4 linked regions of the Alligator mississippiensis genome follow. The protein of the gene in region 4 interacts with the protein of the main gene of each other region in a pairwise test. Links are inferred from orthologs where the notes say so. Each region holds a gene or a part of one and is shown on either strand. Other genes may lie near its edges. The genes, in order: EIF4EBP1, HDAC7, NGB and REL.

Evidence for each region.
Region 1: the proteins of REL (region 4) and EIF4EBP1 interact in binary tests that used the Homo sapiens proteins (3 or more experiments, as listed by UniProt). The two-hybrid records come from large-scale screens. The link is inferred for Alligator mississippiensis from reciprocal best matches to the Homo sapiens genes REL and EIF4EBP1.
Region 2: the proteins of REL (region 4) and HDAC7 interact in binary tests that used the Homo sapiens proteins (3 or more experiments, as listed by UniProt). The two-hybrid records come from large-scale screens. The link is inferred for Alligator mississippiensis from reciprocal best matches to the Homo sapiens genes REL and HDAC7.
Region 3: the proteins of REL (region 4) and NGB interact in binary tests that used the Homo sapiens proteins (3 or more experiments, as listed by UniProt). The two-hybrid records come from large-scale screens. The link is inferred for Alligator mississippiensis from reciprocal best matches to the Homo sapiens genes REL and NGB.

What each region holds. Positions count from the first base shown.
Region 1 is NC_081830.1:18,438,430-18,445,531, forward strand, and holds the start of EIF4EBP1 (eukaryotic translation initiation factor 4E-binding protein 1), read left to right. Parts: upstream 1-4,092; 5' UTR 4,093-4,148; coding exon 4,149-4,284; intron 4,285-7,102. UniProt on the Homo sapiens protein: Repressor of translation initiation that regulates EIF4E activity by preventing its assembly into the eIF4F complex: hypophosphorylated form competes with EIF4G1/EIF4G3 and strongly binds to EIF4E, leading to repress translation.
Region 2 is NC_081838.1:7,634,920-7,641,962, reverse strand, and holds the start of HDAC7 (histone deacetylase 7), read right to left. Parts: upstream 3,009-7,043; 5' UTR 2,994-3,008; coding exon 2,849-2,993; intron 1-2,848. UniProt on the Homo sapiens protein: Responsible for the deacetylation of lysine residues on the N-terminal part of the core histones (H2A, H2B, H3 and H4).
Region 3 is NC_081825.1:262,953,022-262,960,718, reverse strand, and holds the start of NGB (neuroglobin), read left to right. Parts: upstream 1-4,692; 5' UTR 4,693-5,122; coding exon 5,123-5,178; intron 5,179-5,498; coding exon 5,499-5,606; intron 5,607-7,595; coding exon 7,596-7,697. UniProt on the Homo sapiens protein: Monomeric globin with a bis-histidyl six-coordinate heme-iron atom through which it can bind dioxygen, carbon monoxide and nitric oxide.
Region 4 is NC_081824.1:211,732,061-211,739,296, reverse strand, and holds the start of REL (proto-oncogene c-Rel), read right to left. Parts: upstream 3,013-7,236; 5' UTR 2,893-3,012; coding exon 2,886-2,892; intron 1-2,885. UniProt on the Homo sapiens protein: Proto-oncogene that may play a role in differentiation and lymphopoiesis.

The sequences.
Region 1 (7,102 bases), on a different chromosome or scaffold from region 4:
GCTCATTGAGGAATTCAGCCTTGTCCCCCCTGTCCGTCACCAATTGCTTATGCCCATCTAGTAGAGGTCCTATTCCACCCTGGGCCTTCCTTCTACTCCCTATATATCTAAAAAACAATTTTTTATTATCCTTTACTTGGGATGCTATCCTCAGCTCCATGGTAGCTTTGGCCTTTCTAACTGCCTCCCTACAAGCGCGAGCAGAGGAGGTATACTCCTCTTTAGTAATCTCTCCCCGTTTCTACTTTTTATATGCCCCGCTTTTTGCCCGTAGGCTGCTCTGGATATCTCTGGTTAGCCAAGGAAGCCTCTTGGCCCCTTTCCCCCTTTTCCTCCACATCAGGATCATCTCCCTCTGTGCCCGAAGGATCATTTCCTTAAGGCACAGCCACCCTTCCTGGGCTCCCATCTCTTCAAAACTCTTACTCTGCAGTGCGTCCTTGACTAATCGCCTGAGTTCGTTGAAATCAGCTTTCCTAAAGTCTAGCACTTTCACCCTACTAGTTACCTTACCCACTCGATGTCTTATGGTGAATTCTATTATTTGGTGGTCACTGTCCCCCAGGTGACCACTGATCTGTAGGTCTCCTACCATGTCATCCCCCGTTGCCAATACCAGGTCCAGTAAGGCATTCCCCCTAGTGGGACCATATACCTCCTGCGTCAGATGGAGGTCCTGTACACAGGATAGGAACCTGCGTGAATGGTCGGACTTTGCTGTCTGCATCTCCCAGCAGATGTCTGGGTAGTTTAAGTCCCCCATGACTACCGCCTCCCTAGTTTTTATGGTCTCTGAGAGCTGCCTCAGGAGCCCTGAATCTAGTTCTTCACCTTGGTGTGGGGGTCTGTAGCAGACCCCTACCACCAAGTCCCTTTCTCCTTGACCTCCATGTAACCTAACCAACAATTCTTCTACTTTCTCCTCCTCTGATTCAGTTTTGATAAGGGTCGATGTATATCGGTCATTGACATAGAGCACCACCCCTCCCCCTCCCTTCCCCACTCTATCCTTTCTGTACAGCTTATATCCCTCAATGTGTACCGCCCAGTAGTGGGACGAATCCCACCAGGTTTCTGTTAGCCCTACTAAGTCATAGGTGTTTTCTGCAAGCAGGAGTGCTAGTTCATCCTGCTTGCTCCCCATGCTCCTAGCATTAGTGTATAGGCACTTGAGCCCTGTGACTGGTGCCTTTATTGCCCCCCGGCTCTGATACCCAAAGGGCCCCTTATTGCTTACCTGTGCTGTATTGCTGGCCGCCCCATGGATTGCAGGTTCCTGATGTTCTCCTTCTTCAGGCTGGACTGTTCTTGTGGGTGCCACATGGTTTGGTGGTCCACGGCTTCCCCCGCACTCATCTTCCCCTCCCCCCGACGAGCCTAGTTTAAAGCCCACCGGAGGAGATCCGCCAACCTAGAAGAGAACACATGCTTACCTTTGGGGGACAGGTGAAGCCCATCTCAACTGAGCATGTCTCTCATCATGATGTGCGGAGCAAGCCCCAAGCACTCAGCAGAGACCGGCTCTTGTATCGGCTCCTAGAGTTAGGCTCAGGAAGCAAATCTAGGAAAGCAAAATCTAGGAAAGCACATTTCCAAACTGAGGAGTAAGGAGCCAAGTACGGAGCCACAGACCCTGTCTTGCTTTCCCCCCCTCAGTGCCCTAGACCAGACTTCTGCCATCCCCCTAGCCCACCAGATCTGACTCCGTGGGTCTGTGAGAGCACGTGTGGCTGCTCTGGGGTTTGTATGAAAAGAAAGGGCTTGCTGGCAATTGCCACCTGCCTGTTTGCTTAGCAGTCTCCTCAGGCTGAGGAGGCACAGCCTGAGTGCAAGGAGAGAAGATAAACAGAGTTTGCCCTAGGTCCATGTGAGCAGGAGAGAGTGAGAGCAAACAGGCTGAAGGGCCATTTAAGGCAAAACTGCTTGTCCAAGGCTCAGGAACAGCACAGAGCAAACTGTTGATTAATGCTGGTGACAGAGCCAGCGCCTGGCTCCAATGTCAGCCTTATTTCTACCTCCTCATCCTGGCTGGCTAGCTCACCGGGCCTGCTGGTGAAACCCCTCAGGAGCCAGCTCAGCACCCCACAGGGGTACAGGAGGGACGGTCCAGCGGGGAGGGTGTGAGATGGGGCTCATCTCCTTGCCACCAACTTCCCATCTGTCTTTTCCACATTCTCCAAAGCACCCCAAAAAGTGCTGAGCCCCAACCCCTCTATTCTCAATGGGGCCAAGCCCCTTCCAAAGGGGAGGGGGCTTCTTTTTATCATATACATATATCTCTATATGTACATGTACGTATATAGCTATATACAGAGAGAGAGAAAGGGATGTATAGGTGTATAAAGATAGATATATATGTGCATAGCGATATCTCTATAGATAGACATATATCTCTATACACATATATATCTATAAATCTATACACATATGCATCTCTATATATCTATATACGTATAGATATATCTCTAGATGTAGCTGTATCTATACTGAGAATATATCTATATAGAGATATTAGATATATAGATCTATACATATATATATATATAGAGAGAGAGAGAGAGAGAGAGAGAGATTTGGTCCCTCAAGGCTCTGTCCTTGGACCTATATTATTCAACATCTTCATTAACAATGTGGACACTGGAGTCAGAAGCGGACTGGCCAAGTTTGCCGATGAGTCCAAACTCTGGGGTAAAGCATCCACACCTGAGGACAGGAGGGGGATCCAGGCTGACCTTGACAGGCTCAGTAAATGGGCAGATGAGAACCTGATGGTGTTTAACACCGAAAATGCAAGGTTCTCCACCTTGGGAGGAAAAACCCGCAGCATCCCTATATGCTCAGCAGTGCTACGCTGACTAGCACTACAGATGAAAGGGACTTGGGTGTCACGATTGACCACAAGATGAACATGAGCCTGCAATGCAATGCTGCGGCTAGTAAAGCGAGCAAAATGCTGGCTTGCATCCATAGATGCTTCTTGAGCAAATCCCGGGACGTCGTTCTCCTGTTGTACTCAGCCTTGGTGAGGCCGCAGCTGGAGTACTGCGTCCAGTTTTGGGCTCCACAATTCAAAAAGGATGTGGAGAAGCTTGAGAGAGTCCAGAGGACAGCCACGCGCATGATCAGACCTTGTGACAACAGGCTTGAGAACCTGGAAAAGCGCAGGCTCAGGGGTGATCTGGTGGCCACCTATAAGTTTATCAGGGGTGACCACCAGTATCTGGGGGAAGGTTTGTTCATCAGAGTGCTCCAAGTGATGACAAGGTCAAATGGTTATAAACTCCTGCAAGACTGTTTCAGGCTGGACATAAGGAAGAACTTCTTTACTGTCCGAGCCCCCAAGGTCTGGAACAGCCTGCCGCCGGAGGTGATTCAGCCACCTACATTGAACGCCTTCAAGAGACATTTGGATGTTTATCTTGCTGGGATCCTGTGACCCCAGCTGACTTCCTGCCCTTCGGGCGGGGGGCTGGACTCGATGATCTTCCAAGGTTCCTTCCAGCCCGAATGTCTATGAAATCTATGAAATCTCTGTATCTGTATAGATACATATAGATCTATACATGTAGATCTATATAGAGATTTATATCTATGTAGAGAGATACATGGATATATAGATCTATACATATAGATCTATATAGAGAGATTTATATCTGTGTAGATACATGGATATATAGATCTATGCATATAGATATATATAGAGAGATTTATATCTGTGTAGATACATGGATATATAGATCTATGCATATAGATATATATAGAGAGATTTATATCTGTGTAGAGAGATACATGGATATATAGATCTATATATATAGACATACATAAAGAGAGATATATATCTATATGTAGAGAGATATATAGATATCTCTCTATATCGATATTTCTCTATACATATAGATATACAAATACAGATCTATCTACATCCATATATTTATCTCTCTCTCTAGATATACACACATCTACACAGATCTATAGATCTATATCCAGCCACACACACGCAGTGGGCGGGGCCTCAGGAAGGGGGCGTGCCTTCCCCTGCCGCGCTCCCGTGGTGCCCCGCGCTCAGGGCGGGCCGGAAGTGCGTGTGGTTCCGGGTCGGAGGGCGCGGGCGGGCGGACGGACGGTCGGGTGCTGTAGCCGCCGCCGCCATGGCCGTGCCGGGGAGCTGCCTCCCGGGGCAGACGCCGAGCCGGGACATCCCCGCGCCCTCCGGCGCCCCGCGGCTCCCTCCCGGCAACTACAGCAGCACGCCCGGCGGCACCGTGTTCGGCACCACGCCCGGCGGTGAGCGCCGCGCCGCGCCGCCCTCCGCCCCACACGTGTCCCCCCCGGGCGGGCGGGCGGGCGGGCCAGCTCGGGCCTGGGCAGGGCAGCCGTGAGCACGGCTGGCGGAGTGTTTCTCAGTCCCCGTCCCGTGGGCTTGGCAGAGCGGGGGGACGGGGGCGGCGCATCCAAATGGCTGTAACAATAAGTCGGTGCCCGCGCCGCAACGCTCTGCGCTGTGCTGCGGCGACACGGCACGCGTGACTGGTGCCTCCCGTGGGGCACCCCCGGGCGGAGGGGCCCAAGTGTAGCGGGGGCACAAGCACTCTCCATGCCCCCCCCCCCCCGACTAGCCGGAGCGCTCGCTGTCAGAGGGGCCATGTGTCCCCTTCCCCCCCCACCCCGACGTGACACGGGCTCCGGTTGCTCTAAGTAGAGTTGGTCCCGGGGCTGCTGTGAGCATTGGGGCACCTTATGCTGTAATAACTGGGTTGGAGTCGTAGACAGCGAGGGCGGAAGGGACCTCAAGGGGTCACCTCTAGGCCACCCCCCTGCTCCAAGCAGGACCAGCCCCAGCTACATCATCCCAGCCAGGGCTAAAAAAACTTGCACAGATGGTGACTCCGCCACCTCTCTGGGTAACGTGGTCCAGGGCTTCGCCACCCTCTTAGTGAGATTTTTTCCCCCCTAATATCCAACTTCGGCGTCCCTTGCTGCAACTCGAGCCCGCTGCTCCTTGTTCTGTCATCCGCCCCCACTGAAAGCAGCCCGGCTCCAAGGCTAGTTGAGCTGCTTTGGTGATTCTTTGGGCAGAGCGACCTGCTGGCACCCGTCTCTTTTGCAGGTACGGGTGGCTGTCGGCTCACAGGGGGCTCATCCACCCTTTTTAACAGCTCTTGTTTCAAGTCCTGCTGGGTGTCCGTACATCTTCCTCACCTGGGCCGGTCACCAGTGGCCCCACCATGGAACAGGCTGTGCTGGTTTACATGGTACCAGACAGCAGAGGAAGAGAGGCCTGGCCTGATGGGAATTTCACATTATTACAGCTGTTTGGACACATTGTCCCTTTCCCTCTGCTTTGCCACGCTGTTGAGAGAGCGTAAATGCTGTGCAGCGTAGCTACCGATGGAACACGCTGTAAGTGAGAATGCTGGCTGATGGGAAGTTGCTAATTCAGCAAGGGATCAAAGACAATCAGGGAATTAAACTGCTGAAAGGAGTAGTGATTCAAAAACACTGAAGTAGCGGGGCAGTGGGGCACTGACTTCCCTTTTTTAAGCGATGGTCTGGGAAGGTGAGCATATGAAAATACACCTGCAGTTCTTTTTTTATGAGAAAGTATATAGAGAATTAAAACACTTTGTCACGTATTAATGTGCTTGGCTGCTTGTTGCCCTCCCTTTTATTGTGGCCGGTGGCTGCCACGTGTATTTTCTCATGCCTGCTACTCTGGCATTAGAAATGCTTGGGATTTTGGCATTTCTCTGCTTAGTTCATTGGCAGCTGAGTCTAAAATATACGTTTTCAAAGTATCACCAGAAATGAACCAGGCTGCAGGCTGGGCTGAATGGAATGAATGCTATTAGAGCCCTTGATGCAGTGGAGTCTCGCTGACCTTCCTTGTGCTAATCCGGAAACCTGCTGGTTCTTGCTAAATGCTGCCTTGCCACGCTGTGTCATGAGCTTTCTGTGATGGCGAGTGTGCTAGTTCACTATCTGGTTTTCAGCATCGCTTGTTTGTTTGGCTTGATAAACCCTTGTTCTTTTGAAAGCATGTAACACACTGTTCCAGTCCCCTGGCCAAGGCGCTGAAGTACTGTGAGCAGTAAATTATGTTGCTCTTGTCAAAATAAAGGGCCCACTGAAATTTGCCATGCAAAACCCTTGAATAATGTGCATAGGCAGCTCTTGTGCACCTCAGCTTCCCTGGTAGCTCCACTGATTTCAGTGGCACTGGGTACTGAAATGTGACATTTTGGGTTTATTGCTAGATGCTGAAATATACTGAAGCCCTCCTTGGACAGTGAGCACATTTAGTCTGGGGCAGAGGGAGCTTGGAATGTTTTCTGGTGCTTTGGGAGTTTCTTTTCCCTGGATTTACAACAGTTTTACCTGCTTCTGTTCTGCGTGGTTCTGATAAGTTAGGCAGTTCAGCGTGCTTTGTTCCCCTGCTGTTTCACTTGCAGGGGAACAAATAATAGTAGAATGCAGGCAAAGGCCAAGGGCATGCCTGTGAATCATCTCAGGATGGTAGTGGAACGGAGTTGCTCAGGCAGTCATATGACAGTTAGATGCGTTTTGTTTTCTTGGAAAAAATCTGTCACCCTCATTCTGTAGCAGTGTCGACATGAGGAGTGGGGGTGTTGGTTGGTTGTGATTGAAGCAGTTCTTTAAAGCCGTAGGCTAGGGAAGGCTTGTGGGTGTCAGCACCTGCAGGCTCTGGGGAGGAAGCCTGAAATGAAGGCTGAAGATGGGAATGGTGAAGTATGCTTGTTCAGGTGCTGGATATTGCAGGGTTGTTTTTTACTGCCCTCCTTCCCCAACTCCAGTTTTAGGGAGACTCACCTGCATTCGACTTAAAAGATGAGCGTTTTATTGATGAACTAGCCCCAAGGTGACTCCCAAAGAGCTGTATCCCAGAGCTGCACTGCTTGTGCCCCTTGCACATGATATTGGCTGTAGCTTGCTGCCCTGGGTGAGGTCTGGGGAGCCCTTTCCTGCCCTGCAGCATTCAGGCACAGGCTGGGGGCCGCTAGACATGCCGAAGGATTCAAAGGCATCTTCTCAGCACTGTTAGCTTATCCTCCTGGCTCTGTGAGCCCCTTGGAGCTAGGTATGG
Region 2 (7,043 bases), on a different chromosome or scaffold from region 4:
TCCCCAACTCAAGTCTTGCTTCTGTATCAGGCGGTTGCTCCGTGCACGCGCCAGGCAAACCAGACACTGGTCATGCCTGCCTCGGGCCACCTGCTGGGGCGGTCGCAGGGGTATAACCCTGACCCCATGGGTTTGGAGCATTCAGCATGTCCCGGCCGGGACGCAGGACATCCCAGAGAGAGGAGACCAACTTAGCTAATGCCCCCAAGCCTCGTTTCTCCATCCCACAGAAGCAGGGCAAGCCTAGATCAAGGGGGTCAACTCTAATAGCACCCCCGAGAGTCGCCTGCAGACTCCAAGAGCATGGAGAGGGGATGTTTCTCCCATGCTGCTTTCTAGGAAGGGCTCTCCGAGTCAGTGGGCTGCGGGCCTGGCCTCCGACTGCTGGACAGCAGGAGATGTATAGCAGGGGTGCAAACCTGTGCCCTCCTCCAGCTTGCAGAGCCCTGCTGCCCCGGCCCAGGGGCTCCCAGCAGCTCCAGGCTGAGGCTGACTTCAACCCATCCTGCACACCCGTGACCACAGGCTCCCCCAAGCCGTGCTATCCCCGCCAAGCCTCAACAGCTCTTCTGCTGGAGGGGGTGGGGGACATCCAGGCCCGGATGGATGGGCTCAGTGACCTGGGTGGGGCTGGTCAGCACTTGGGAGAGAAATATTTGTGCAATGGCAAAGGTCCAGCTGCAACACTCTCCTTTCCCCCCCACGCCTGCTGGAGCCAGAGGGGAAAGCTGGAGCTGTCCTTCCTCTCCTGGAAACGGTGAATGGGGAGCTGTCTCCATGGACCCAGAGCCCTTCCTTGCCGAGCATGGGCACAGCTGGCCCACAGCTGGGGTGGCAGGGAGCAAAAGGGGCACCAGGAGGAGGGGAACACTGCTGGAAAGGCTCCACGCTTGCATAAATGAGCTATCCCGGGAAGCCAGCTCGCCCATGAGTCGCAATTCCCACACAATCCCAGGACTCCAGGAGCTGGGGACTCTGAAACCCAGCCTCACAAGCCACGAGGGCTCCCCTGGGCCAGCCAGCTTCTGCCAGGGCCCTGCAGGCTTTCCTGGCCTAGCATCCGCCGCCAACCCAGCCAGGCTGTCCTGGCACCCAGAAAGGTCTCTTAGCCTCGGGTTCAGCCCGATGCAGGCAGCGGCCGGTGGCTGCCGGAGCGGAGAGGCCGCGAGTCACTGGGGACTGGCCTTTCCACAGCTCAGCACCCAGGGCAAGCGCCTGTGCAGGGATCGGTACAGCCCCTGCCCAGCGACTGGTTTCACAGCATCGTAGAAGAGCAGGGCCAACTCTGCTCCAGGCAGAAACATCCCCATCCAAACCAAGTCCCTGTCTAATCCTAAAGCTGCACAAATCACATACCTACCAGGCCAGTTGCCCAAAGACACCAAAAGCACCCCAAACCGCTGCAGGTGAAGCAGGGGGACGAGAACTCGCCGTGCCCTGCTGCTTCAAGGGGTGTTAAAAATGCACCGGTGCGATCCAGGGAAAAGGGCCAAGCCCCAGCTATAAAGACAAACCCCTGCCCCCACCCCAGTCCATACCAATCTGACCATAGGGGCCAAACGCCTTCCTGATCCTCAATGAAGCATCGGTCTGAGCCCAAGTGGAGACACATGACCCTCTCGCCAGGACCCTCTAGGATTTAGTCCTAACAGGAGCCCAGTCACCAACCCCAGTGCCTCTGATCTTGCCCTTGCCCTCTGCCATCCCAAAGCTACAAGCAGCAGGAGACAGGGGCAGGAGCAGTCACCAAGCTGGGACAGAGCTCACAACAAGACCCTAGCATCCCCAGCCTCCCAGAAACCTGCACTGAAAGTTTCCAACCGGTGAAAGCAAACGAATCAGCCTCCTCCAAACAGGCCCCGAACGGCCAAGCCGAGCTAAGCATCCAGGGCCCCCTTCCCCGGGGCCGCCCGTCACCCTGCTGACTCAGGAGGGAGGGTGCGGCTCCCACCAGCTCTCCTTCTTGGAAGCGGAGGTGCTTGACGCAAGCTTGGTCTTTCCGTGAGAGCCTCTGAGCTCACCGAAGCGCTGGCCCGGCTCCCCGCCCAGCTGGGAGGTTTGCAGTGAGAGCCAGGATCCAGCGGCGCTCCGTTTGCTCAGCACAAAGAGCCCTGGAGCAAGGGAAGGCACCAGGGCTTCAGCTCTGCGGGGCCTGGCTTGGCTATACCGGCCAGAGCAGAAGGGGGCTGCACACCAGCGGGGACCGGACACGGGCCTCCCTCTGTGTGCTCACTCGCACTTCCACCTCTGTGCTCCAGGCCCAAGCTAGAAGGCTTATGGGGTGCTGCCCAGGCCATGCTTGGATGGCAGCACCCCATAAGCAGGGTAAGAGGCAGCTCCAACTGGGACGGTCCACGTATCTTGACCCCCACCACGGCTCCCCTTGCAGATGCCCGAGGTCCTGGCTGCTCTTTGTATGCACAGGAGGATCTGGCATCAGGGGACCTGCACTTGTGCCTCGGCTCTGCCGCTACCCCGGCGGTTACAGCGGAGAGGTCGCTGTGCCACCTTCTACCTGGGACAGAGGGACCGGGAGCTGGGGACAGTCACCCCCCTGCCCCCAACTCACACCAGGCTGCATGGATACAACTCCACCTCCCCTTACAGATGCATGCCCTCCACCCTGATTTTACCAGATCAGCTGGGGCTGAGCAGGCCTTTACACTAGGAAGCACCATCAGGTGCAGACAGAGAAGCCCCATTGCGAGCCAGGTGGGATGCTAGAGCTAGTCCTCTGCCCCACAGCACACACCACCCCATGGGTCACCAGTGGGCACGTGCCCACCCCGTGTGAGCATACATAAGCGTGGGAACAGTTGGCATGCACAGACCCATGCACGACTCTCACCATGGAAGGAGGGGAATCCAGTGAGCAGAGCGTGCCAATGCGCCCTCCAGAGCCCAGAGGTCTTGCAAACACAGCCCAGGCGGATGCGACAGCTGCTCTTCCAGACACCCCCGAGCTTCCTGCATCGTCCTGCCCCATAGCACATCCCCTTCCCCTACACCGCCCTAGTCGCAGTGCCTCTCTCGGCTGGCATTTCAACTCTCTCCAGGCCTCTCCAGGGCGTTGAGAAAGGCATGACGACTTCAGCAGAGCAATTGAGAACACAGCCTGGGTGTTGCAATCGGGAGGATTGGGGGGGGGGGGGGGGGGGGACGGGGACGCACAACTCCAGCTGCAGCAACAAATGTTTGTGTCTCCAGCTGGGAGAAGTTACCCATATGGCAGGGCACATTCTTGCGGCTCTAGCTCAGCCCTTCCCGGCGGGTGGGGGTAGGAGGGGAGCTGCAGCTCCGCCAGGCAGGGTTCACTCCGTGGCCCATGGCGGATGCAGACAACTGCGGGCAGCAAGGAGGCAGGACACTGTGCTACAATCAAGCCTTCCCTGTGTTTGGGGCACGCAGCCAGGCTGGCTGGAGGTGGCAGGGAGGGAGCGCAGCTCCCCCACCCCTGCCACGAGGCGCTTTGCTCTGGGAGATTCGAGCTCCATCTCCAGCTCCGAAATCCCCCAGCTGGATCCTTGCCCTGCTGCAGCCTCATGGGTGAGGCCTGGGGCCCGTGTCCACGAGCCAGCCCACATCCTCCTTATGCGAATAGAGCGGTGACAAAGAGCCAGTGCCAGGGATGGGGTAACGAGGGGGCACCATTTCCACTCCTACCGCAGCCACTGATGGCATCTCCAAATCTAGCAGAGCTAGACACAGCCAATCCAGAGGGCACACAGTGGATCCCAGCGCCTGGAGACACCCAGCACCCCCCTCCCCACACCAGCACCCCCGTTTTGGCGGGGCGAGATTTAGGGGAATCCATACAGGCTCTCCCCTGTCCCGTGCATGCATCACTGAATGCTCTTCCCACTCCCCAGGCCACGGTGCAGCTTTGATGCTCCATAATGGATACAGGCAGCCACGCTCCACTAGACCATCCCAGGAGCTTGGGGAAGGAAGAATTAGTTTCCTACGTGAAGGCTTTGATCTGAAGTCCCAGCGCTGAAGCAGGAAATCCCCATGAGATCACCCCCCCCCGCCCCATCTTCTCCTGCATCTACCTGGAGAAGAGCAACACGGCTTCTCCCCCCAGCCCCATTTCAGCCCTGGGGGCTCCCTCCACTTCCCCGAGGGTCCACTCCAGAGTTGCATCCCCGCCTCCTTCCACGTGAGCACCGCTCCTCTCCCCACGGAGCCAGGCCAGCTGTAAGAACAGGAGACCTGTCATTTCCTGGGCCAGCCCTTCGCTACCATGTTGGATACCTGCTCCCGGGCCTTTCCTCTGGAAATGGGTCCAATCCCCTTTGGATGTGGGTGAATCATCCTCTATCATGTTCCCCCAGAAGTCTATTTTTTTTTTCTGAGCCTAATTGAGTCTCACCTGGTCTGGAAGCCCACCCATGCCCTTTTCAGCGCCGTTTCCAGTTCTTCTGCCTCTTTTGTGAGCTTGTGGGAGATAAAGGCACCGCGGGGCTCCAGGATGCTTTCTGCCTTATGAGCCCCTTCTTTCTCCCCTCCCTACAGAAACCAATGCAGATACTGGTGGAGGTGGGGGTCTACTCCATGCAGAGCCCTGGGCAGCTAGGGAGTCTCTACTGTCTTCGGACCCAGCAAGGAACCAAGCTCCCGAGGCCAATGGAGGGTCCACGCAGCTGCAGGAAGATGGCAAGCCGAGAGCTTTCGGCAGCCTCTGGAGGCCTTCCTGCCTCACGTCCTGCAAGGAGACACCTCCAGGCACTGCTCATTTCCAACAAGGACCCAGCACGAGGTGCAGACATGGAGCTAGGCAGACCTCCCTGCCCTCCCAGGCTTGTTCCTGGATGCACAAGCTCCATCCTTTCAAGCCAGACCTGCTCCTAATCCCTGCCCATCCACTCCACACAATGCACCTTGCCTGCTCCGGTCCTTGCACCTCCCCGGCCTTTAGCATCCTTTTACCTCCCTACAGACGAATATCAGTGCTGGACCACACTCCAAGTAGCTGGCGGTGGCTCAGACACCTGGCGACGTGCTCTGGAGATGAGCTACATTACCCACGAAAGCCTCCGAATTGATGTGCCAGAGCTCCTGGCCAAGGTAACGACATTTTCCATCATGAATCCTAGAAGGTCCGAGTCAAATGCTATCCTAAAATCCCAGACGTCCTGGAGGAAAGCAGCCCAGCTACCTCCTCTCCAGCCCCAGCTTTGCTACAGTCTCATTCAACCACCCATTCTGTCCTCCCGACAAAAAAAAAAAAATCACGCAAGCTGATTGTGTAAGGAGACGGTAATTGCGTGGCTTGCACTGAGGCCTGAAGGGAGATTGGGGTGGCTGAGCTGGGATCTCCCGCTCGCTGGCTGTGAGAGCTGTTGTGCTGACGCTGAACGAACTGGCAGGGTGTCAGGAAAGCCGTCCACGCCACTTGGAGCTGAACACGCCTGGCCCTCTGCCCTTCACTGAGCCAGGGGTGCTTGGCTTAGCTCGCCGGGATCTCTGCCCAGAGATCAGCCACAAGGTTTTGCATTTGCTTTGTGAGTGGTGGCACCCCCAGAGTCCTGCTTTGGGTCTCTGGAAAGAGCCTGCTCAGTTCTGGGCAAGGCCAGGCACATCCACGCTCCTCCAACCCCCTGGCATTCACCCTGGCTCTGGAAGAGCAGCGGCGGCATGGCCCCGTCTGCTCAATCTCCCAAGGCTACCTGGAGACGGCCACGGGACGTGCATGCAGCCCAGAGCTGCTCTAGGAGCCATGCACCGGGCATCCTTGGCTGGGGAGAATCCAAATGGCAAGTCTCCCCCCATGGCCAGCACCATCCGGGCACCCACTGGTGATGGCAGGGGAGAGCTGCGGGGTGAGCCGCTGTGTAGGTCTGCAAGGCCTCGGAGGACCCGCCCTGCCTCTGCCTCCCCCAGGGTGGGGCAGGATAAAATCCTGCAGAGATGGAGCTAGGCCAGCACCAAGTCGAAGGCAGCCTGGGAAGCCTTCCGTCAGTGCCGTCACTCCCCACCTCCACCCTGTCCCCAGGTGCGCCCGCACCCGCCCCACGCCCAGCTCCCCACCCTCCTCCGCTGGCCTTGCAAACTCAGTTGCTCCAACCGGTGCACCCGAGGTCTCGCAGCTCCTACGCCCCGACCTCCAAGGGTGGGAAAGAGCACAGCAACATCCTGAAAGAGGCAGCCGGGAGACCAAAAGGGACTGCTCCGAGCATCTGCCTGTCCCGCGCAAAGCCCCCTTCCTCGGGGCAGGGCTGGATCCACCAAGAAGTCCTGGCACAGACAAGACTAGCTTATGTCAGCGGAGCTAAGGGCTCGTGGCTGTCACCGTGAACAATCTGCTGTCCCCGAAACAAAATAGCCTGAACATACAGACCCAACCAGTGCGGCAAGCAACACATCCAGAACCTGAAGGACATGGGAACAGATGCGGTCAGATATGCCACGGTCACTAAGGGCATGGAGAAGACCGCAGAAGCTATGGCGATGGGCAGACCTCAGATGGAGGAGATGGGGCATCCTGGGCTGCATTGGTAGGAGCGGTGCCAGCAGATGGAGGGCAGTGATTCTTCCTCTCTATTCAGCACTGGAGAAGACACATCTGGAGTCCTGTGTCCAGTTTTGGGCCCCCCACTACAGAAAGGATGTGGACACTTTGGAGAGAGTCCAGCAGACAGCAAAGGAAGTCGTTCAGGGGCTGGGGGACATGAGTTGTGAGGAGAAGCCGAGGGAACTGGGCGTACCGAATCCACAGGAGAGAAGACCAAGGTGGGATTTAACAGTAGCTTCAACTCCCTGCAGCGGGGGTGCAAAAGGAATGAAGCTGGACTGTTCCCGGTGGGGGCAGATGACAGCACAAGGAGCAATGGGCTCACGTTGCAGCAAGGGAAGCTGAGGTTGGATATTAGAAAAACCCGTCTCATTAGGAGGGTAGTGAAGCACTGGAACAGGCTCCCCAGAGAGATGGTGGCATCTCCATCCTTGGAGGTTTTGAAGACCCAGCTAGACAAAGCCTTGGCTGGGATGATGTAGTTGGGGCTGGTCCTGCTTGGAGCAGGGGGTTGGACTAGATGTGACCT
Region 3 (7,697 bases), on a different chromosome or scaffold from region 4:
CGGTTGTTTATACAAGCCTCTCATCTCGTCAGGGCCCCGTGAGCTACAGGAAGAACCCTTGGATATTGAGCAGCTAAAGACAACACATTTTCTTCTTTGCTCTGCTTTTAATCCCCATGCTGTGGCTTAAATCTTCAAGGTTGGCAGCACTGCCATCCTGCTCCCCAAGGGCACAGTGGCAGGCAGAAAAGTCTGAAGCTATTGCCCTTACCATTTGTGTGTGCAATTATTCACGTCTACATCTCTTTCACTTGTTATGCAACTGCATTTGCAATTTGCTTTGCTACTGAGCTGTGGCACATTATGGCCTGGGGGGGGGAGCAGAGATGAGAAGCCGAAACATTTCATAAGCTGTGTTTCTACCTGAGGATGGAGGGAAGCAGTCATGGTGTTTAGTTTATAACACAGACAGACTGGAGAGAAAGAACGAGTCTAGCCCAGGAAGCAGACTCTGAGGTGAACTGAGAGCCTGGAGGAGTTTGGTTATTCATGAGGACCTGCAGAAGATGAATTTGAAATTAAAAAAGAGTCTGAAGGGGGATTTGTTTTCATTACTTGGAAAGTGCAGCAACAAAGATGAGAACTCAAGCTGTTACAGCATATCAAGAAAACAGAATTGGCCCCAAGGCCAGGAAAATTCAGTGCCTGAATGAGGAAGGAGGTGATCTGAGCACAGGACCAAACGTCAACATTTATGGCTTTAGTCCTAGTTCTGATGCAAACCTCACTCTGTGACTGTGGGCAAGTCACTATCCCAACTCTCTGCTTGTTTCTCTGTCAGGCAAGTAGAGGTGGTATTCACAAGGGAGAGTAATGTTTGCAAGGCAATCTATGGGGCTGTTGACATGCAACATATTTCTATCGTTTTGAAGGTGTTTGGCTACTTTGTCTGAAAAATTAGATGATTTTGCTGTCCATCATACTGCTCTATGCAGACCACAGGGATTCACTGGAAATTCCCTTTCCTCCCTCTGTGCACTGCTGAAATGTGGTAGGAGCTGGTCTCAGCTGGACATCTTTGTCCCCAAACAGGCCCATCTGATGTACTGCAGCACCCAAGCAGATAATACAGCCAGGCTGAGCTCTGAGAAAATGGAGCTATGGGGGCTGGGTGAGATGAGATCACAGGGGCAGGAAGGCTGTACCTACATAGTGTTGTTGGTCAGCATGATGGCTCCTTTGGTGTTTTCATAGAAAATGTGGGTTGGAAGGGACCTTAGGAGGTCGTCTAGTTCAAGCAGAACCATTCTCAACTATATCATCCCAACCAAAGCTTTGTCTAGCCAGGTCTTAAAAACCTCCAACGATGGAGATTTCACAACCTCTCCAAATAACCTGTTCCAGTGCTTTACTACTCTCCTAGGGAGAAAGTTTTTCCCAATATCTAACCTAGGTTCATGGTTCTCCATGCTGGAAGGCTCACTGAGCATCTGAATGAAAAGCACAATATAGTTTTTTTTATTAAAACCCTCCTCAGCCCCTTAGCATGCTGTCAGCACCTCCAGCACCGTGGCAGCAGAAGGAGCTCCTCTGACAATGGAATAGCTGTGCAGGAGAGGCTGCTTTATATGCAGGTGAGAGCCCTGCCATTTCAAACTCCTCTTGAGCCCTCACTCCCAGCAGCTGGAGGAATACACATCACTTCCAGGTTTCAAATGTTTCTCCTTGAGCTCCCTCCAACTTCAGCCTTTTTGCAGGTTCATTTTTTAGGCTGGGGTTTGGTTTCTCTTGTGGAGAGATAATTTGCTTTTTAATTAAAACAGGAAGTAAATGTAGTGCTGGAAGATGCCAATGTGGCAGTGCTAGAGACTGGCATTCTCTGTTACTCCTATAGCACTGTTGTGGAAACACACGCAGCATACTTTTGGGTCAGGTCAGCAGAAGCTTTTATTCAAAAGAAACTACAGCTGTAGGGGGAGTTCCAAAGTGACATGGATTTCCCAAGCACTTGGAAGGGGTCCCCCCCCAAGAGCAAAATCAGGAGGCTTATATACTTTTTAACAGTCGCTTACAACTCACGTGATCATATAGTGAAATTAGCTAGAAAAGCAGCTATAAACATGACTTCGTTACTTTTTTGCTGTTATCAGGATGAGAATTATGGAGGAGACAAGGGAGAAATATCACTCCCTGCTTGCACCTGGAAATCAGAGTTGGACATACTTTTTGCTATCTTCAAGGCCGCAGTGAGCGAAGCAGTTGCAGAGGAGTTACAAAGAACAAACACTTGCCCTTGTCTGTTCTACTGTACCGAGCCAGCAATTCTCCACAAAGCGGTTATGTCATCTTATAACTCAAATGATCAAAGTTTAAGGCATTTATTTTTTTCTGATTCCACAGCACAGATATAGCTTGGGTAGTGGCAGGGACATGGCCTTGGAGGGGCCATCACTAAGGGGAAGGTTAAATTATGCTAAGCCTTGGCCTCTCTCCTGAGCCTGCCACCAGGTAAGTAGGGGGCAGCTAGTCCCAGCTGGTCTGGTGGATCTCCCACTAGAATGTGTCCTGAGCACTGCCCTTCATCTCAGATGAGCAGTCCAATGTAGGCATGTGAGAGAAGAGGCTGAATATTCTCAGTGGTTTATATGTAGCCATTAGTTGTTTATTTTGGCTTTTGTCTGCATAGAGAAAATGCTCTAAGTGCTCTGTGTGACTCCAGGGCGCTATCCTTTTATGCTGCATTGGGCAGTCGCATGGGGAGTCTATGGCAAGTTGCATTGCTTCTCATTTCATGACCTTTGCATCATTGCTTAATTTGCAGCTGATGAATCTGCATATGATCATCTATCTGGGAAGAAATTGGCCAGATTGTTAGTAAGGAGCCTCCCTGACGTGGTGCGTGCTCATGTCCCAATGGCGATGTCCCTGATACTAACAAACTCTAGCAAAAACTATCAAATCTCCCCACATTTCACCTATCTTTCCCTTGCAGCATTCCAGCTTCCTTCTTCCCTGTCTATTCAAAAAGGTACTGATTGTCTCTCACCTTGGCTATTACAAACTCTTTTTTTCTGCTTTCTCTTAACACCCAGCTTTCAGTCCACCCGAAATGTGGCTAGGAAAATATCTAGTCTGGTGCGTTATCTGTCTCCTGTTCAAATCCTATAAATTTCCTTCCTCCCTCTGTACCACTGAAGTGCCTTACTCTCCTCTAGTAGGTTCTGCCAAAGTGCCTCTAGTTTACAACCAGGTTCTCCTTTCTCATTACAGCAGAGGCAAATTGGGGTAGAAGAAGATTGGCAATATTTCCCCAAGTTCTGCTAACAATACAGTCTCCACACGCTCATAGCATCAAAGTAAATGCTATGCGGAATACTTCATGTAGATTCTCATACAATGTTCTTGCTGCTTTCTAGTGTATTTTGGTGAGACTCAGAAGAGTTAAATGTTAACCTTTATGTTGTCAACACTAGGCAGCATCCTGTGTTTCTTGTCTTGGTGATTCCAGAAAGAATATGACCCTTAGCTGCTAAAAAGAGATTAATAGGGACTGAAGGAGCCTGGAGTGCAGCTGATTTTTGGAATATCCTATTCTTTCAACCTGAGCTGCTTCACTTCCCTTTATAATTCCCAGTGGTCAGTAAGACCAGATTTCATGAATACTGAGCTGAGTTAGTGTGTGAGCTCAGTCTCTCCAATTGGACAGGACTGAAACCGCTCAACTGAGTGACCCAGATCCTTCCTGGCTAACACCAAAGGAGCATTCTCTTCAGGCTGAGATTGTAGGGGCCTGTGCATCTGGAACAGCAGTTGCTGAGCTCTGTCCCTAATAGTGCTGTGGGTTTTAATGCAGCGACGATGTACAGCAAACCATAAAGGTAATGCTGGCTCCAAGAGCCTTTAAAGGCCAAGTTCCAACTCCACTGAAGCCAATGTTAGGCTAGGAGAGGACAAGAACTGACTTTCCTCTTAAAATGATGCACCAACATTGACTATGACCACATATATCCTATGATAAATGTATTGTACAGGCGTTGTAGCCTCAGAATACCTTCTTATCTAACAGGAACAGCTGAACCTCATATAGCTGATATTATAGGCTTAAACGGACCATATGCCTATTATCTTAAAGAAGATTGCAATGATGTCAATAGGACTTGTTCTCAGAAGTCACTTAGGTTGCTTTTGAAAATCCTTCCTTAAATGATTATTCTGTTACCTGTCCATATTTTTCCATTCTTCTTCCTTCTGAGCTCTTAACACAGAACACGCTCTGTCTCTCTCTGTCCTCCCCTCCCCCAGCTTGTCTTGATGCTGTCTGAATCATTGAGCCATTTGAAAAGGAGAGTTTTCACTTCATCTGAGTAGCAGAAAGAACCTGAGCGCTTTGAATTTGTTTGATGTAGTCCAAAAGCCTTGTGATCCATTATTAAATGCTTTGCCTTGTACAATTGGCTATGCTTCTATTAAATTAAACATGTGATGATGTTCCCTTTGTACACACTAAACCCTAGATTGCACCTGCACCCAGAGATGTAAAGGTTTGGGAGTGTCAGTGCGGGTGACTGGGACCAAGAGGACACTGTTGAAAATATTGTATGAGGGCAAGCTGCACTCTAACAAGTAGAAATCAGGACTGAAAGCTGAAAGAGTGAGGTTTCTAGCTTGGTCCTGCCACTAATTTATTGCCCGATGTTAGGCAAGTTGTTTTTCTTCTGTGTCTGTTCCTTCATCTGTAAAATTGAACTGACTGGAAAATTTCAGCCAAAATTGGGTTAAGCCATTTGACACTGAAGGTGTGTGGTGGCTCCTTACTTATGGGAGAATGTAGCAAAGTGCAAAAGTATTGTTTGTTACCCAGCTTTAAAAAGCTCACTGGAAGAAACGGGGAGAAAGGGGACACTGTCGCTTTAAGAGCATCCGTGAAAGTGTTGCTACTGGAAGCTGCTCTGCGAGACGGCCAGCTGGGAAAGTGCTGCTAATAAGGGGAAAGGAGCTTCAGCTCCAGATCTTTGAGCCTGTGTGTGACAGGGAGTGAGACAGGGAACAAATCAGGAGCACAGTTAGTGCCCAGTGGGAAGAGGGCACAGAGACACTGATAAACTTGCTGTAGCCATACAGCAAGGGGGATTAGAAAGCAACAGTGACCAGCCCATCATTCCTGTAGACACCAAGAAGCAAGATGGATCTCCCCCAAGGCACTCAGGTTTCATCTGATTGCTCAGACAGGGGCTCTTTGTAAGTCCACCTGCACTGCTCCCAGGCAGGAGGTGGGAGGATCAAGGGGAAAAAAAATGGCTCTTGCACTGTCTGGGGATCCCAGAGATGTGATCACAAAGTCTTGAGTACTGTGCAAGGAAGAGCATCCTTGGCACTTAGAGGAGCGAGTGGGGGGGGGGGGGGTGTGGATCCCAGGTCCAGAGGCACTGGTGGCCTTCCATGCTTGGATTAATTCAGGACCTGTGACACCTGTAACTCAGAGTGAGCAAATGCAACTACTTTCAGAGGAAGCAGAAGCTTCCCCTGTCTCTGCTTTTTTCCCCCTCCTGTTCTTCAAGTAAGATGGAGAGTGAAAAATTATCCAGCACTGAACAGGCACTGATACGAGAAAGCTGGCAGAAAGTGAGTGGCAACCCCCTGCAGCATGGCATCATCTTGTTTACCAGGTAAGTGATGGGTTATTATAGCAACAGGCAGTTTCTGTAGCAGGGCAACTTGGACAGAGGGAGGAAAAACCTGGTGCCAATGCTTGCTGTGGTATTTATCAGGTCTTCTTCCCCCCCCCCCCCCATCCCTGGGTAAGGCAAAGGAAGGTTTGCATTCTCTGAAAAGAAACACTTCCCCTCCCTTCTGAAATGATTTCTTTTTTCATGGCTCCATCACTTATCTCCTGCTGCCTGCTCCTTCTGTCCATTTGCTGTGATTTGCAGAGCAGAGAGAACAGATTTCCAAAGAAGCTCCTTAGCATTTAAATCTAGAACTTTGTTAAAAGGGAGGGGAGGGGAAGGTATGTGGAGTGTGTGCTTTTGTGCATTTCTTTGCAGTGATTTCCCTTGTTCTTAGGAGAGGAAATTCTGTTGTTTAAAACCTACTTTGATCCTTGTGCATCCACTCAACTCTGTGGAGTGTATCTAAGTAGCTTCCTAATTGTCACATTGCTGAGGCAGAGAGCTGGCCACTTGAGAAAGGAACAGTTAATTTCCAGGATCAATCTCAAAGAGGGGGAAATAGTGCATGGGGGAGTGCAACTGAAAATTTGCTGCCTCTTCCACTGAATTAACCCTTCAATTAAGTGGCAGAAAAGTGGAGGGACGGAGGGAAGTGCTTGAAAAGTCCTTGAAAAGCAATGGCTCTAAAAGTTTGTGAGAAGCTCTTGGCTTTTCCACAGCCAAATCTGAAAGGCAGATTGCAAATGCAAATATCTGGAAAACAAGCCGTGCTTGATAGAGCCGAAGGAAAGGAACTATTTAAGGAGACATTTAAAAGTTTTGGTGAAGGGGTGAGGGATGTTGCAATCTCATGTTAAGTCTCTCTGATGATGTTGATACCTAGGAGACTAGAACCATTGCAAACTGATCACTCTAGGTGCATCTACAAGTGCAATTAATGCAACTAAAAATACTTCAGCTCAATTTGAGCTGGAGTAAACTAATCCTGATGTCAGCATCTACACATGCATTTAAGTGCAGTAATTTATTGCACTGCCAGATACCACTTGTAGCTGATGGGACTATCCAGCAGCACAGTAAATTAGTCTATTGTGCCCTAATTTCTGTGCATATGTAGATGGTGATGCTTTATTGCACAGAAAATTAGCCTGTTGTGCTGTAAAGCATCTCGTGTAGATGTGCCCTCTGTGTGGTTTTATGAATTGCCATAGACTGCCATGGATGGCATCAGTCTATCAGATCCTCTTGATTTTTTGCTTGCTGGACCAGTGTGCGAGTTAAACAGGTGAGATGCCATGTTCTAAAGAACCCCAAACTGATCCATAGATCACTGGTTGTTTATAAGGCATGGACAGTGGTCTGTGGATCACCCCCTTTCCATTATAATTAAAAGTTTGGTAAGGGCACATTATGGTCAATAAGAACCATCGGGGATCAGTGGTCTGTTGGTCCCAAACTTTGGGAAGCAATGTCCTATGGTGAAAAAGTTGGCAGAAGGGGTTTGGATTGGGAGCCAACAAACATGTGAGGGATTCCAGTTTTATGACCCTGCTTGTGAAAGTAGGAATCTCATCTGGCTGCAATATTCTGGCCTCCTCTGAATTTGAGAAAATTGAGATTAGGGAGTATCATAAAAAACAGGGAACAGCAAGAGTTGAGATGGAAGTGTTAGGACAGGGACTAGGATTTCATGGAAGATGGAGTCAAGCAAAGGATTTCAACAGTGCCCTGGAGTTAACACTGGGCTGACCTGTCTCCTGGAATAGTGTTGTAGCAGTGAGGACTGGGGACTTGGGCTAAAGTAACAGAAACAGTTTTAGGCAGATGACCCCCAGACCATGGCAAATCTCCCTCTCAGAACTCCATGTTTGTAACATCACGGCTGGATGGAATGAGGGGTGGGGAATGATAGATGGGGGCAATGTTAAGGAATGGTTGTCATTTGAGAAGTGTGAAATATTTGAAGTTTTCTCCTTTCTCTTGAAGGTTGTTTGATCTGGATCCTGACCTCCTGTCCCTCTTCCAGTACAACTGTAGACAGTTTTCCAGCCCACAAGAATGCCTCTCTTCCCCTGAGTTCCTGGATCA
Region 4 (7,236 bases):
ATGTCATAAGCCATATAAAGTAAATAATGGAAGCAAATGCTGACTGCTCAGCTGACCATAAGGAAGAAGGCTCTTTACCATGCCCTGCAAAGTGCTGATGCAAAAAATGCAGCTGTGCCTGCAAAGAACCTTCAGGAATTAGATGATCTGCCTTTTACAATATTTGTGGCTCACAAGCACATGGTACAGAGAGGGAAAGAGAAATATTGTGTGTGCATGCCATTCATCTCACACTGATGATTTGTATTGTATCTGGAGAGGCCTAGTCAGATTTCAGAGGTAAGCATGGGGAAAGATGAAATGAAGAACCAGAGGAAGGTGGCTGTGACATACTATATGTGTTTCAATACACCTGGAGGGAAAACAACTGGCTTCTATTTCCAGCTGTTTCCAACTAGCAAAGCCAGAGATCCTTTTGAGGCAGGCTATGAAGATGTTATGTAGCAAGACTGGTAATTCTTACATGGCTCTTAGGGATGTTGTCTGGATATGTGCTCTGCACCAAAATCTGAAGTATGAGAAAAAGGTAGAGGTGGGCCAGGGAGTGATGGGAGCGTGACCACAGTGGCTCCACAACATGAATCACTATCCAGAATGCCCATGAAGTGAGGTATATGCAGCAGACACTATGGTGGCACTGCTGAGAAAATTCTGGCTGTCCAACTCACATGATAGTGATCTGTTCAGAGCCTCTGAGCCAACTCTTCCAAGCTGAGCACCCCAAAAAAATGAGAGGCCGTTCAGAAAAGTCAGATATTATATTCTAAGTATTTGCAGCTCTCTGAAGGGTAGGGGCCTAGGCAGACAATTCAGAGGTAACATGTCTATTACAAAATATTTGCCTACAACCTGAAATAAGTGCAAATATCCTCTTAATTTAGAAAAGAGTAATCCCCTACCTAAGTCTTCAGGACCTGCGTAGCACTCTAAGCAAAACTGCTTTGCACACTTCCTCTTTGTTATCATGTGACATTACAGAATAGTAACAAAAAGTCAGTAAATACTAGGAAGTTAAGAGCTTCCTCTGCTGAAAAATTCCTTTGCCAGTTAGTTGCCAATATGTTGAAAATCTATTCAGCACTGATAACAGAGAGATAGATATCTCCTGCTTCAGCTTACCCGCTTTAAAATACAATATCAAATTTGAAAGGGCACAGGCTCAATAATTTTATTTATCTGACTATAAGCCAACATTTAGAAAAGCAGATCAAGCACATGCACTAGCAATGGCTGACTTAACACGCAGATCACAAAGCAGATACAGGTTAGACAACATTTTTCTTGAGGACAGCAACTACTCTTAATTAATGCAACCACCTCTAAAATGGATTTTTTTTTTTAATTTCTATGAAAGATGCAAGATCAAAAGCTTTTCTTAGATAAAAATTAATTGCATTATGTCTGCTGATTCCTGTTTGCCTGCTCCATTTATGTTTATTACATTGTTGTTGTGGCAGCTCTCCCTCTCTCACTTCTTTCTCAATATCCTCTTCTAATGTGAACAGCATTCATCAGCTGAACATCAGACAGGTCTTAGACAACTGGTAATCACCCCAGATCTGAAACTTATATGTACATTTGGCTCTTTTAATTTAATTTCCGCTTGTTTTTTAAGTTTAAATGAGCCATTCTGAAAGTGATCAGTCTTAGCTCTAAATTCACATTTTCTAATGTTTGTTCACTATCTATTTTGTTAAAACCAAATAAAGTAAATATTTGGACAAGTGTTTACTACTGTTCCTAAAATCATGATTGTAGATTTTAACAATAGTACTTTAAGTAGCAGAAAAATAAAAACAAGCAGGCCAACAGATTTTCAGAAGTGACTAGTGATTTGGGGCTACCAATCAGTTATCAATTTAACGTAACTTATAGGAAGCCTTAGAACCTAGCCCCTGAAAATCAGTTCCCTTTAAAAAAGTGTCTCAGCTTGGACACCTAAATATTAAAGCATCCAAACCACAAGTCAGTTTATAAAATGCGTGCACAATGGCAGCTTCTCATAGCTTAGCAGATTTACTAGTCTAGGTGTACCCTACACACACACTGCGGGGCTGGGGACAGTGGGTCAGGAGTGAGGGGCAGTGGGTCAGGACTGGCCACTGGTGTTTACAAATGGGTCCTGATACAAAAGAGGTTGAGAACCACTGCTTAAATGCACAGTTATAGTCCTGAGCCTCTGACTACAAATAGGCAAGACATGCCAGGGGCTGTCCAGCAGAACAGCAATTTTTCATTTAAAAAGTGAAGGTTTGGTTGATATATGGGAGCATGCCTTAGAAGGCAAATATACCAACCACAGCAGGAAAAGATACCAATCCATGCCACAACAGCAGAGAAGGATTTGGGCATCATAACAGGTAACCAAGTTGCCTAAAACAAGTGCCTATATTTAGCCACCATGTATGCAATGGAAATTACACTGCCTTTAACGAAGATGCAGATTATAAATGGATTGTTTGAACTTATTTCATGCTTTTTCCTGCAGAGCTAAGTCAGGAGCTTTGAGCTGAAAAGCACCATCAAAGTGAGGGTGGAGGAAGTCCTTCTCCACATTCTCGTGGGGGGGATGCGCATGAAAACCCGATCGGGAACCACTGCTCCAAGTGAAGTGAGCATCAGCTCAGGAAAGCCTGTGTTACACAGCCAGAGATGAGAGAGCCACCGACACAATGTCGGTATCTCTAAGGGACAGATCCGTCCTGCCCTGTTACAGGAAGGGACCCGCTCACCTGGGCTCCATTTGGTACGCACATACATACACACAGAGCTTTCCATGTCCGCTACACACACCCATGTCTACTACACACACACGGCCACTCTACGCGCACGCGCCTCCATTACCCCCCCGTGCCCACTGCCCCGCGGTGCCCGGCCGCACTCACCCGCCATGGCGCTAGCCCTCGCACGCGGCCCGCTGCTTGCTGCTGCCCGGGGACTCGGGCTCGGCCGCGGGTCCCTGTGCAGCTGCCGGCCCGGTCCGGCCCAGCCCGGCCGTCCCGCCCCCGCAGCTTGGCCCCGCCCCGCCCCGCGCGGGAATTTCCCCGCCAGTGACGCGCGCCAGGGCTGGCCGCCGCGCTCTGCTCGTCCCCGCCCCCGCCCTGCCCCTGGCGAGGCGCGGCGGCGTCTCTCCGCCCGAGACACGCGCGGCCAGTCGGCCGCCCCCGGCCCGGGACACCTCCTGCTCTGTGGGGGAGGCTCTGGCTCGTCTGAACAGGTGGAGACTGGAGGGTTTCACTTACCTGCCAACCTGCACAAGGGCAGAGAAGGCCACTGTCTTCACCCGCCTGAAGGACCTAAGCCAGGGACTAGCGCGGAATTTGAAGGGAAGGGAGAATTTCTCTGTCTCTGCCTGACACACATGCACACACACCGAACTGCAGTTTAATATGCATTATACACACAGGATGAACTGCACACACACACACTGCAGTTTAACATGCATCGTACACACAGGATGAACACACACACACTGCAGTTTAACATGGATCACAACTGTAGTTTAACATGCATCGTACACACACAGGATGAACTGCACACATGCACACACACGGCCTGAAGTTTAACATGCATTGCACACACAGTGAACTGCAGTTTAACATGCATCACACATGCCAGATGAACTGCACGTACACAAGCTGCAGTTTAACATGCATCACACACACACACACACACACACACATAGAGGATGAACTACACATGCACATACAGTGAACTGCAGTTTCACATTCATCTCACACCCACAGGATGAATTACACACGCACACACACTGCAGTTTAACATGCAGCTGTGGGAGTTATTGGCTGAGGAGTTGCACAGTTTTGTTCTCCGTCCATCCTTTCCACCAGTTAGCTAAATGCAAGACTAACAGCACATTCATGGTCAGTTGGACAAAGCTGACTTACAACACCCTAGAAACAAAAGGCAGGATTCAAAAAGATTTGACTTTTCGTTCCACTTTGTACCAATTTAACATTCAAAAGAGGGGAAATATCACATCGTTTCCTAGACCAGTGGTACTCAAAGGATGTACTGTGGAAGCAGCAAAAGTGTGTGCTAAAAATGGGTTGGGTGGGGCTCTGGCTTCATCAGCACCACATACAGGATTGGACCCACAGACTGGATCTGGCCCACAGACTGGTGAGTGAAGTGTGCTGCCAATTTTAATCCAGAAAAAAAGTGTGTCCCAGGTATCAAGCTTGGGAAACACTATACTAGTCACTAGCCAAAACCTATTGGCCTGCTAGCCAAGACCTAGTGACCAGCCCAGAATTTAAATGAGTTATCATAAGTCTAATGTCAAAAGTTACACATTTCTGAACATCAACTATTGCTAGCTTATGTCAGGCCCAGCCTGTGGTACAGGATACAGCACTGCTGGCATCTATATTTCATTGTTTCATCCTTTTCCCTTATAACAACTAGAGTTTACAGAGGAACCTGTTTCCTCGGGTGCTTGTCAATGTAAAAATTCCCATTAAAACTCATAAGTGAAGCCAATGGCCCTCCTAAGGCACTTGGGGATGTGTAGAATACCCAACAAATGTCCTAATCCTCATGAATGTAGTGGATGCTGTCTACTAAGGCCTCTGGAGACTCACAGAAAGGGAAATGCCCTCCCACACCCCAATTTCTTTCCTGAACCTAAACATTGTGTTCACTCTTCTCCTCTCTTGGCTCTCCTGATATTCTCTTCTTCATTTGTGACAGGCAAATTGAACTATAATGAACCCATGAGATTAATTTGGCAGAAAAGATAGGGAAGTATTCTGTACCCCCTTCCCTTCTTCAACTTTGAACTGTTCCTGACCATTTCCTTCCCTGCTTGATTCCTTCAACTGTTGGTAGTTCCCTTCTGTGCCACAGCAAGGCATCTGCTTTGCTCCCTATAACTCTCTACGACTTCCAAAGACCCAGGTCTGCCTGTCAGCTGTTCCTCCTCAAAGACTGAGTCCTCAGACTCAAAAAAGATATAAGGGAGTAGTTCATGGCTTCTTGGCCTCTTGTGGGCTAAGGTCAACTGGGGGCATCTGAATCCCAAGACCTCTGGCTTTGGGCCTGCACGTAGGATACCTGCCAATGGATTTGGGAGTATCTGAAGTCCCAGGGTGAGAGCCTGCGACGGAGGATGCTCACTGGTTGTAGCCTCATACATGATGTATAAAACGATTGAGTTTTGCCTGCTCAGTTGATATGGTTTTTGGAACAATTGAGGGATACTTAATCAATATAATTTGGCTAATTTGACCTGAAACACAGAATATATTAATAATGATAATAAAAAAGTAAGCTCTACATATTGTGGAAACAATTATGTCAATGGTAAATATAATCAGTCAAAGCAAAGATGAGCAAATTGCAGTGGCAAATTCATCAATTTGCCTGAGCTACAAATAGCCATTCAACTTACCAAGTTATTCAGAGAAAATGCAATCAAATTTGTCTCTACTTTTGCTTTTTTATATTTTTTTAAGTTACTGTATGACTGGGGTATGCATTTCCTGCAGTCATTAATAACATGACGCATGCACTGCCCATCGTAGTTTCTTTTGAACTGGAGTGTTTGCTACAGTTCACTTTGGGGTGTATGTTATTGTGGCTCTTTGGTTAAACACTGTCTGCACATGTGGCTCCTAGGCTATGTCACTGATTTAAACCTATGCAAAACTCAGGGAATTTGGGGCCCACACCTCCAGCTGGGTGTGAAATTCACCACTTGACCCTATTGCAATGAGAAGCTGAAAAGGACCACTGAACATGAGCATCCCTTGAACTTTGTAAAAATCCAGTTTGAAATCAGATGTGGGCATAAATCCTGAGCGGGTCTGGACAAACAGTAAAATAACTGTGAAGGCATGAACATGAAGGAGCTTACACCCAGCTGACAGGTGCATCCTTGTGGTATAAGACAATGCACTGGACCGGCAGCAAGATTTTGTTCTGATTTTTTAAATCTTTTTATTGAGAAGATTAGCACACTCTTAACTAGTATTTCCTGAGAGAGATACTGTTCACATTTTAGCACTTTATTTATTATTCTTGCTACATTGTAGGTCACATCAAACGAATTAATTTGCTTACACAAGGTCTGAATTTGGTCCCATGCCTCTCCCGATGATAACAGATTAAAGTTAGGATATTTGGACAGAAAAATAGGGTTATAGTGTCTTACTCTTATTGCAATACATTGAACCATTAGATACTGTCTACTCTACTCTAGACAGTGTCTCCTGGCTCCTAGTCTACTATAGACAGTATCTCCAACATACTGCAATAGAGTAAGACATTACAACCCTATTTTTCTGCCCAAGTATCCAAATTTACAGATATCCAATGTCACAAGTATGTAAAATAAGATGTTTCCTTTTAATATGATTATACATGTTTAAAAATTAAAAGTAGAATTTATAGTTTTCTGTCTCAAGGCTGTTTTTTTAATCTGTCATAAGGATTTTTATCATAAGGATTTCATGGTATAAACTGGAATATAGTTTCATTGCTTCTATAGAGCTCCTACTGTTTACAAATGCGGAGAATCTGGCCAAGAATGTCATATATTTTGTATTTTTGTCATTATAAGCGTAGTAGAATTCATTATCCTGATGCCATGTGTTCTACAGGTTGATTTGCTAAACTGAAGCAGGAATGCATGTTTTACATTTTCCCTCCCATAAAATCATACATCAAAGTTTGTCTAGCACTTTTTATTAAACTTTCCCCTAATATTAAAGTTAGAACTGGCTTCTAATGTGTTCAGGGAGCACTTTGATTCTTACATGACTGCTATTATAGAAATGATGGACAAAAGTAAATTTGTCATGGAATCACTGCATTTTTGAGGTTGTAATTTTAATCCAAGTCCTATTTAATATTTGGTTTCCAATATTTTATCCACCTCCTACATGCATATACAACCCCTTACGCCCCAGAAAAAACATGTAGCACACTACTGAGATGGTACATTGCTCTCAGAGATGGTAGGCTAGACCTGGTGTCAAAGTAGGCTTTGCTATTAAATGTAAATCGATTGGATTAAGCTCCAGAATTAGAACACATTAAAAGAAGAGCTATTCAGAGTAAAAAAGTGGTTTATAATGCTTTCTTATTCAACATTTTTTTAGTTTGTTTATTTACAAAAAACCCAGAAAACAGTGGGTTAGAACCTGGGCTTCTCTTAGCTTGAAATTCTGAGTTCAACACCAAAGTTAATAGTGTGGACAGACAAAGTATTAAAAT